Linked DNA regions of Xenopus tropicalis. The protein of the gene in region 2 interacts with the protein of the main gene of each other region in a pairwise test. Links are inferred from orthologs where the notes say so. Each region holds a gene or a part of one and is shown on either strand. Other genes may lie near its edges.

Region 1 (4,415 bases), on a different chromosome or scaffold from region 2:
AAACAGTTACCTTTCTGCATCATTTGAAATCCTGGTGGGAGAGGAGGGACTAAAACATTGATGTTACAAATAGTAACAAGTTCTCAACAGCTTACAGACAGCATGCAAGAACTACATAACCCACAATGCACTGCACTATGATGTACCATTGCTTACTGACATCACGTCGGCAGGGGATTGTGGGATTTGGAGGTTGCAGGTTAAGAACAGTCGACTACTTTAACAGCCCAATAGGCTTGTTTTGCCTCCAGTAAGGATTAAATTATATCTTAATTGGGATCAAGTACAAGGTACTGATTTATAATTACAGAGAAAAGAATTACAAATTAGAATTATTTGCATATAATGGAGTCTATGGGAGTTGGCCTTTCCGTAATCCGGAACTTTCTGGATAATGGGTTTCCAGGTAAGGGATCCCATACCTGTATATTAAAAATCATGAAATTGCTGCATATTTTTTAATTGATGTATATTACAAAGTTACTCTTTAAAACGCTTAAGTTGTGTTTGGGTGGAGTTCCACCTTAAGTTGCAAAAGCAACCTGAAATAATAAAGTCATCAAACAGTACATAAGAGTGAAAGTTAAGAGCAATTTCACTCAGTTATCTTAACCCCTTTGTGGTCAAGTGGTAAACAGAGATGTCACCTGCCCTTCCAAAGTAGACTGTGTACAGGGGCTTTTTTATGAACACTGGCCAGTAACCTATGGCAACCACATTTTTGCTTTTCATTGTTCAATCTGCAGTCATGGATTGGTTGCTATGGGTTACTGCCCATGTGGAAATCTGCCCACTGTTTATACATGTTTACTGTTTATATACATAAGATGTCTACAGTCTAAGAATAAAGTATACAAAGGCACATTTAAGCCCACATGTCCAGCCTGTGAACCTCCTGCTGTTCAACTACTACTCCCTATACTCCAGCAGACTTTATCTGGGAGTCTGGACTAAAGGTGGCCATACACCGTAAGATCCGATATTCTCTCGATAGGCCCCCTACGAGTGGGTGATATTGGGCTAATTCAACTTAGGGCCAAACAATTGAATTAGAATGGTGGGCATAGGCACCATCAGTTCAGAGACTGCATAAACGAGCCGACACGGTCCCCAATTCAATGTAAATATCAAACCTGCCCGATTTCAAGTCAGATGTCAGTTGGGGCCTGTTGTTGGTGCCCATGCATGGGCAGATAAGCTGCCAAATCAGTCTAAAGGACCAATATTGGCAGCTAAAATTGCCCAGTGCATGGACACCTTAAGATTCATAATAGGCCCTGGTATTTGACATACACGGAGGCCCAATCCCCTCCACTGGCCCAATAAATAGTGACTGTCTACCACACCTTACTGCAGCCCCTCTGGCATTTGCCAGAATCTACAGAATTGCCAGATGGTATGGTTATAGGTTAGCATTAGTGATTACACCTAGTAAGCTTGCTGTGTTGGCATGCAGGTGTGAAGGTTATTTAAAGGAATGCCGTTGCTTAAAGTGTATTGTCATATTATAAATACACGTTCCCTTTCATTTCCCTAGGGACATTTTTCATTTTCCCTAGGTAGCAGCCTAGCTGGTTGTAAGCATAGTAGTTTTTAAGCTCCTGCCATAGACCCCCTTCAAGCCTCATGTAAGCAAGGTATTTACTTTATTTACAGGAGGTGAGATTGATAGAAATGCCTAGAGCTGGTCTGAGTGATGTCTGAAGCCATTTTGCAACGCTCTTATTTGCGTTGCATGCGCCCCCCTCCAAGGGCAGAATTTCTGAATATAGGCACTCTTCATTTAACAGAAAAGTGTGGAATTGCTGCAAATAGCCTTAACCTATGGAGACAACTGCATAGAAACTGCTTTTCTGCTTCAAGTGATACCAGTAAGTTATGTGCCTGGTGTAAAGCTGCTGTACTGCGTGTTGCATGTATTACCATTTCCATAGCCACAGGCCATGGTTTTACTTGGGTTAGGGATGCCCAACCCCTGGCAGACTGTTCCTGCTGAACTACACCATTCTGACCTGCTGGCTGATATGTGCAGACATAGCTCACAGCAGCTGGAGGGGTGCAGAAGAGCAGACGTTCCATATGTGATTGCTGACACACAATGATGATGGAATGAATGGAGGACTCACATCAACATCCAGCTGTTGTACTACACCTCCCCCAACTGAACAGCTGGATGTTGGCCATGCCCGATATCTGTATACAGAGAATATACAACAGAATCATGCCATACAGGTTTTTATTGTATAATAGTCCAATAGGACCAGCCCAGGATACAATACCAGGGGGAGAGAGCAATGGGTATTGCCCAGCGCTGTCTGTAAGCCCCAGGTAAGTACCTAAGTTAAGCCTCGCACTGTCGCTGCCCGGCTACACGGCTGAACGGTACAACACGTTCCTCCCAAAGTTTGCGAATGACCCCCAAGCTTCCGCCAATCAGCAGCGCCCCTTGTCTCCCACATCACTGTCCCTGTCTCCCACAATGAAGCCGGGGCACCCCATTATTCGCACAGTGCCAGCAGCAGCACCTCACACAGCCAATGAATGGGAAGGGCCGAGGAGGGGTGGGAGGCAGCGAGTTGTACTCACCTTCCTGCGCGAAATACACCGTGCGCCCACCGAAAGCTGCTCGCTAGCAGGAATTGAGTGAAGGCTCTTACCGAGCGGTACTGTGCGCAGCCAGCGACCAAACCCCGCCAAAAACAACCCACTAGACGCATGCGCAACACCGCCCTCCAGCCTAAAGGAATGCCCCTCCTCGGGTACACACTATGCCCAGTCCGTGCCATACTGCAGCCTAACCATTCACCAGAATTCATAACCAAAGGTTGAGGCCCTATAAAATGTAATTTCAATGGCTAGAACCAAATCTGCCCGAACTTCTATAAAACGAGCACCGGGCCAGTACGGAAATCTCTGTATAAAATATGCACACCGATAATCACTCGCCCAATGAGAAAACGGGGCGTACCAGCACCTCACTTAGGCCGGACAAAAGGACTGACTAAACGTACCCGATTTCTTTTCCCCTCCTCCTCAACGTCTTAACCAATCGCTGAAGTTAAACGTCACGCTAGTTGCCCAATCGACGATGCCTACGCAGACAGCGACCAATTAGGAGGCAAGTGGGCGTATTCTGGCGCACTAAATATACATTGCCATTGCGCTATAATCCCCCACTCTTCCTTCCTGTCGCTTCTCTTTTGTTTCTGCTGTTGTTGAGTTAACATCGGGGAGAGTCACCATGCACAAGTCCGAGGTAAGGCCTAGCGCCAGTGCATAATGCATTCGGTTCTTTTTATCATAGTCGTTTAGTTTTACGCCTTCTAGTTATGGGCATAAGTATCAGTAGGAGTGTTGGCGCCTTTTTGGGCCAGGTTTTTTTTTGTATGCTGTATATATGAGAGTGCTACGGTAGGTCAGGCTATATTAGATAACGACTAAATTATGTGAATAACATGTAGGCCCTGGCTGGGGATTTTCTTTAGACGCCGAGCTGGAAGCTTTGCGTAGAGTTCCTTTGTCTGACTCCATTTTGTGCGCTCCACCCTGCGAGGCGCTATGGTACCGCCTATTTTCTACTCGCTTAATGGCGGCGCTGTGGCCCGTAGCTGGAAGGCGCCTTTTCTCTAACGCCACACATGATTAGGCCTCTCCTTAATACATATTAGATATTCTCTAGCAATAAATAAAAGAATACCTCTCTCTCGGATACCGTACAAATTGGTAACAGAAAGGCAAACTTATTCCCGGATTTGTAAAAACGCGTGTTTTCAGCTTCGATGTTCAGGCTAACAATATACTTATTATTCTCGCTATTTATGGCTTCTACACATTCAACTTAAATGAAACCTGTTCCTATAGAAAAAAATGACCCTTATGGTATCGCGGTGGGGGAGGGGAAACTGGTGATTCACCATTTTGGTGAATGGGTTGGTTAGGCCTAACCAGTGCACTTCCCCCACCTAGAGGCTTGGGTTGGTTAGGCCTAACCAGTGCACTTCCCCCACCTAGAGGCTTGGCTGCTAACTTTGCCCAATTAGCGAGTCTCCTTTTTAATCACTGGGCAAGTTTGCACCTAGGCAGTAACCCATAGCAACACATCAGTGGTAGTTTCACCATTCCTGCTGCTGGCTGAACAAAGGCCAAACATCTCGTTGGTTGCTATAGATTATTGCTTAAGTGCAAGATAGGCTTTATTTTAAATTTTTTTTATTTTTTTTGTGGTTTGGGTAGAGGGTGAAATTAATAGGAAAGGGTCTTATAGTAGATGAAGAAAAATAATCCTTTGTGCCTGTCCCTTTGCTTTTGGCATCCAGCCAACATAGTTAAACCCAGTACATGCTAGTAAACCTCGTGTCTGTCTACATTGTACAAAACTGACACCTGTTTAAGGGTGTTCCAAACTAGACAAATTA
Region 2 (4,415 bases):
ATAACAACTGAGAGCAAATCCTTTAAGCAATGAACTCTCACCTACGCCCACTGGGATCACGATTCTCATCTGGTACAATTGAGGTTCTTTTCTTCCTCCGTCTCTTTTGAGATGGAGTCTTAGGCATCAGCTCAGGTTCAGCATTAAAGTCACTAAGGGAGAGAGATGAATTGCGATTGGATCATGTAAAACATTAACCTGCACACTCTTTGGAAATTGCAGTGTAAAGCCACATCCTACGGAGCCAATCAAACTTAAACTATACATATTAATTTAAACTCAAAATAATCCGCTATGAGAACTTAAATTGAACACACCCATGTATTTGTGAGTGGAGGCTGCAAAAATACTTTTTCTAGACAGCTATTCTTGCTCACAGTTCGCTAATAAGTAAGCAAAATAGGTATAGAAAATAAACCAACATTATAAATAAGATGCCTTCCCTTAAACTCAAGACAAACAATAGAAGCAGGCTTGTTTCTTCCCTCAAGCAGAACTTTCTGCATTCCAGATGTATTGCGCACACCTATCTATACATATACCAAACAAAAGCCCTACAGGCACACAGTCTGGACTGAAACAATATTTTAAATCAATTCAGAAGAAATATTTGTAGGATTTAATTAGAGCTTTTGGGCTGGAGGAAGTGGATTTCTTGCAAACATTATTATATATTCCACATTTTCTGGATACAGTCTTGCAGAACAGAGGTATGGAATGTATTACGTATTTTATAAATGTTAAAGGGTTACACAGTTAATCTGGGTTGCCTGGCAAGAAGGCATTCCAGTAACAAAAAAATCAAGTTAACCCGGAAGCTGTTTCAGATTAGCTTTCTTTGCCAAACAATAACCACAACCTAAACAATATGGTTAAAAACTTAACATGCTTGTGACCTAAAAATTCTAGGGCGAACTTTCAATTTCTGGGTACAAGTGCATCATCAATACCGACTGTTTGCAGTGATAGGATAGGCTAAAGGGCACTACTGGGGAGAGACTTGCAGATATGCCTGCATTTGTTAAATAGTTATAAATAAAAAAAAATAACTAAGGCCCATAAAGCATTTATCCAGTTCACTTGCTAGTCAACATTTGCTACTTGGACCAACCAATCAGGAAATACAAACTGGACTCCTGCCACCCTTTTACAGGAATGGGCATCACAAAAACCTTTGTGGCACTAAACTCTTGCCTCCCCAGGACCTTTATTACTTACCAGAAGAAACAGCCATGACATGGAGCTTAAGAGGGAAACAGACCCGTTTGGCTGACGCAACCCATGGAAACAGTGCATCCAGCCTATAGATCCACTCCACAAACACAATGCAATGGTTGCAGCAAACATGTGATGGGACTTTAGAGTTTGACACTGGTAAGTAATAGGGCATTAGGAAAGGCAGGGATTATTGTTTAAAAAGATATTATATATGATTATATGATGCTAAATCAGTAGACTGAGCATGCATTCCATATCTAGCGATAGAGTAATAAGTGTCGAATTGTTATGGTTCATACAGAACGCACCTGCTGAACATTTTTCTTGCCTCTTCTTCAATCTCCAGAAGCCAAACCATGTGCTTGCTGTCAAGAGTCCGAACAAACTCCTCCGTCTTGCGAGCACACACCTGCAAGAGGTGGGACAGGCACTCCGCGTCGTTCATGGTGGAACCTGCAAAATAAAGAGGACTTACTAATAGCAGATAACATTACAATGAAAGTCATCAGCAGACAACTTGGCTTTATTAGAAACATAACTTGTAGTTTACTCTCATAGAGGGTCAAACATATACCAAACAGGAGACAACTAGATCCTGTCACACAATGCAGTGTAGTAAAGCCTTGGGTATAAAACACACAGAGCAATTTAGTAGCATCTACTTGTCACAGCTACTAAACGCCAGAAAATACCCTGCCATAGACAATACTGAGAATTGCTTCTGATAAAACACAGACAGTCATCAGTAAATGATCAACATTGTCTATTTTAGTAGCTGTGACAAGTAGCTGCTACAAGTAGCTCTGTGTGTCTTCACCCTAACAGACCAGGGGATACCAAAATGCCAATTTCTGTGAGAGAAAAAAGCATCCCCAATGACACTCCTCAGAAAATTCTACATGAGCTGACAAGAACACCGTGCAGGAGATGCTGCCAGCAGTAGTCACTTAACCTTTTGGTGGCCAGCCAGTGCAATGCTGTCTAAAACTGCTAATAATATGAAAACTACAACAAAAAAAATGAATGTACATTGCTGGCAAACAGAGTACTATCAATGTATTTATATGCTTCCAGGTTTTGTTTAAGTCAGTGAAACAAAAAGCAGACTTGGAGCACTCCTGCAGCTGGCATGGAATGAGTTAAATAAAAGTCTTGGTGGGTTGTGACAAAATAAGCAAAAAATTAAAAATTTAAACTAGTGGTTTTAAGATTTATTTGTATTTTTTAGGTGATACCCCTGCGTTAAGATACAAAACAAGATTGGGGGCCTCTTAAGCAGAAAGCAAAATAATTAGATTTAAAAAAAATGATTTCCTGCCTCTCTATAATAAGACAATACTCTGTACTTGATGGTAACCAAGTTGCATGAATTTATATTGGTTTCAATAAAACAAAAACCAATTCCTAAGCATTTTGGGTATCAGACCCCACACTGCAGTACAGCAATCCCCATAACTGACCCTTATGTTAGGATTACACACATAAATAGGAAAACAAACACAACCTCTACAATATCCAACGTAATTTTAAATTATGATGCCACCCCCAGTCATTGCCCCAGGCTTTCCTATAGCAGCCAACTCTGCATTGAGCTAAATATGTCAGGCTGGGCCATTTCAACACAAGGGGGGGGGACCGGTCCATTTAAACCCGAAGGGGTCAGCGCTGGTCATTTAAACCCAAAGGGGGCATGCCGGCCCCATACGGCTTGAGGATATTATGTCCGGCTGGTAGAGGGAGAAAGCCTTGGATAGTGCGTAGTTATTCGCGACAAATACGGGGCTTATAGGGAACCCAGATAGAGAGAAGGGGTGAGGGACAGAGCTGTGCAGCTGCAGCGCATCAGAGGTTGTTAGAGGCCAGTCTGGAACCTCCAGCAGTGGAGATAGAGCCTCACAGCGGCCAGCCGGGCAGTCTGACAGGAACCTATGAGAAGCATGCCGTGGGCACGGAAAGGGTTAACATTAGCCGGCACTTACCGATTCCGGGTCCCGTACCGTGCGCTGCTTTGTAACCCGCTCTTATTTTCCTTTGCGTTTTTTCCCACCCCGTCCTGCACAAGCGGTGCCTTCCTCTCCCGCCCAAAGAGTTCAAATGTTTCAAAAACCTAACGGCCGTAGCTGAGAGGCTGTGACATCAGAAGGAGGGGCTTGCGAACCCAGGCTCGCTCATTGATTGGTTAGCTTGACACCTAGGGGGCGGGGCTGTTTGGGGAAGGAAAGTAGCTCTATGGTAGTGGAGGACTCACAAATGCGCTAGTGGGATATTATACTAAATAATTGCGTTTGTTGTACTATTGTGCAGGTACTGTCTGCTTAAAGCTCAGTACGCAGATCCGGATTTGTACTGAATGGGGCTCTAGAAGCGTAATCCTTTCGGTCCCAACATGCTGCTCGCAAAAATGAGAACATTTACGGAAAAAACTACTGTAGCTGCAATGGGTCATTTAAATGCGCGTTTAGATTATTTCTTTATCTAAGCGACAGTCCTGGTGCTTTATGGCTGTGATTATAGTGATGTTTTTGCGGCAACTCACCTTCTCTGAAAATATTTACGAAGGTTGATTGGCTCCTGACAGCACTGACCATAGTGTCTGTGATTGTCATAGGGGCATTAGGGCAAGGACTGATGTGAATACAATAAGAATGTGATTGTTTTTGAAATTGTGTATAAAAAAAAACAATTTGATGCAGGCCTAAGGTATGGATGCCCAAGACATGCCCCCTGCTGTTTTCTGCCACCCCCCCCCCCCCCCCCTTTTCAACTTCCTAATGCACAGGGCCAGAGTACCACAAGGCCTAACAGTATGTGCCCAAGAGCCTACCCCCCCCCCCCCCATGTAATGCAGTTTGGTTTTTTTATATATAAAAAATATATAAAATAATTAGGGTTCAAATTTAGTTCAGAAGTCAGACAGATCTTTCCAGAGGTTTCAAACCTTATGGATCCAGTGCATCCACAGTTAAAAAAAAGTAGCATTTCTATCATGCTGAGCTTGAGAATAATATGTTGTTTTCTAATTCTTATATATGATCATTTCTGCTTGTGAGTTGCATCAAAATGAGAACTGCTATAAAGGGAGACCATGTTCTACATCAGGGATCCTAAACCTTTTTTTATCCCTGAGACACACTCAAATGTAAAGAGAGTTGGGGAGCAACACATGCAACATGTTCCTGGGGTGCCAAATAAGGGCT

What was found. The genes of interacting proteins can lie anywhere in the genome.
Region 1: the proteins of incenp (region 2) and cbx5 interact in binary tests that used the Homo sapiens proteins (3 or more experiments, as listed by UniProt). The link is inferred for Xenopus tropicalis from reciprocal best matches to the Homo sapiens genes INCENP and CBX5.

The regions. Positions count from the first base shown.
Region 1 is NC_030678.2:145,616,100-145,620,514, reverse strand, and holds the start of cbx5 (chromobox protein homolog 5), read right to left. Parts: upstream 2,733-4,415; 5' UTR 2,587-2,732; intron 1-2,586. Other genes in the region: hnrnpa1 (heterogeneous nuclear ribonucleoprotein A1), read left to right, coding at 3,242-3,256. UniProt on the Homo sapiens protein: Component of heterochromatin that recognizes and binds histone H3 tails methylated at 'Lys-9' (H3K9me), leading to epigenetic repression. In contrast, it is excluded from chromatin when 'Tyr-41' of histone H3 is phosphorylated (H3Y41ph).
Region 2 is NC_030680.2:22,839,017-22,843,431, reverse strand, and holds the start of incenp (inner centromere protein), read right to left. Parts: upstream 3,249-4,415; 5' UTR 3,198-3,248; intron 1,672-3,197; 5' UTR 1,664-1,671; coding exon 1,527-1,663; intron 153-1,526; coding exon 42-152; intron 1-41. UniProt on the Homo sapiens protein: Component of the chromosomal passenger complex (CPC), a complex that acts as a key regulator of mitosis.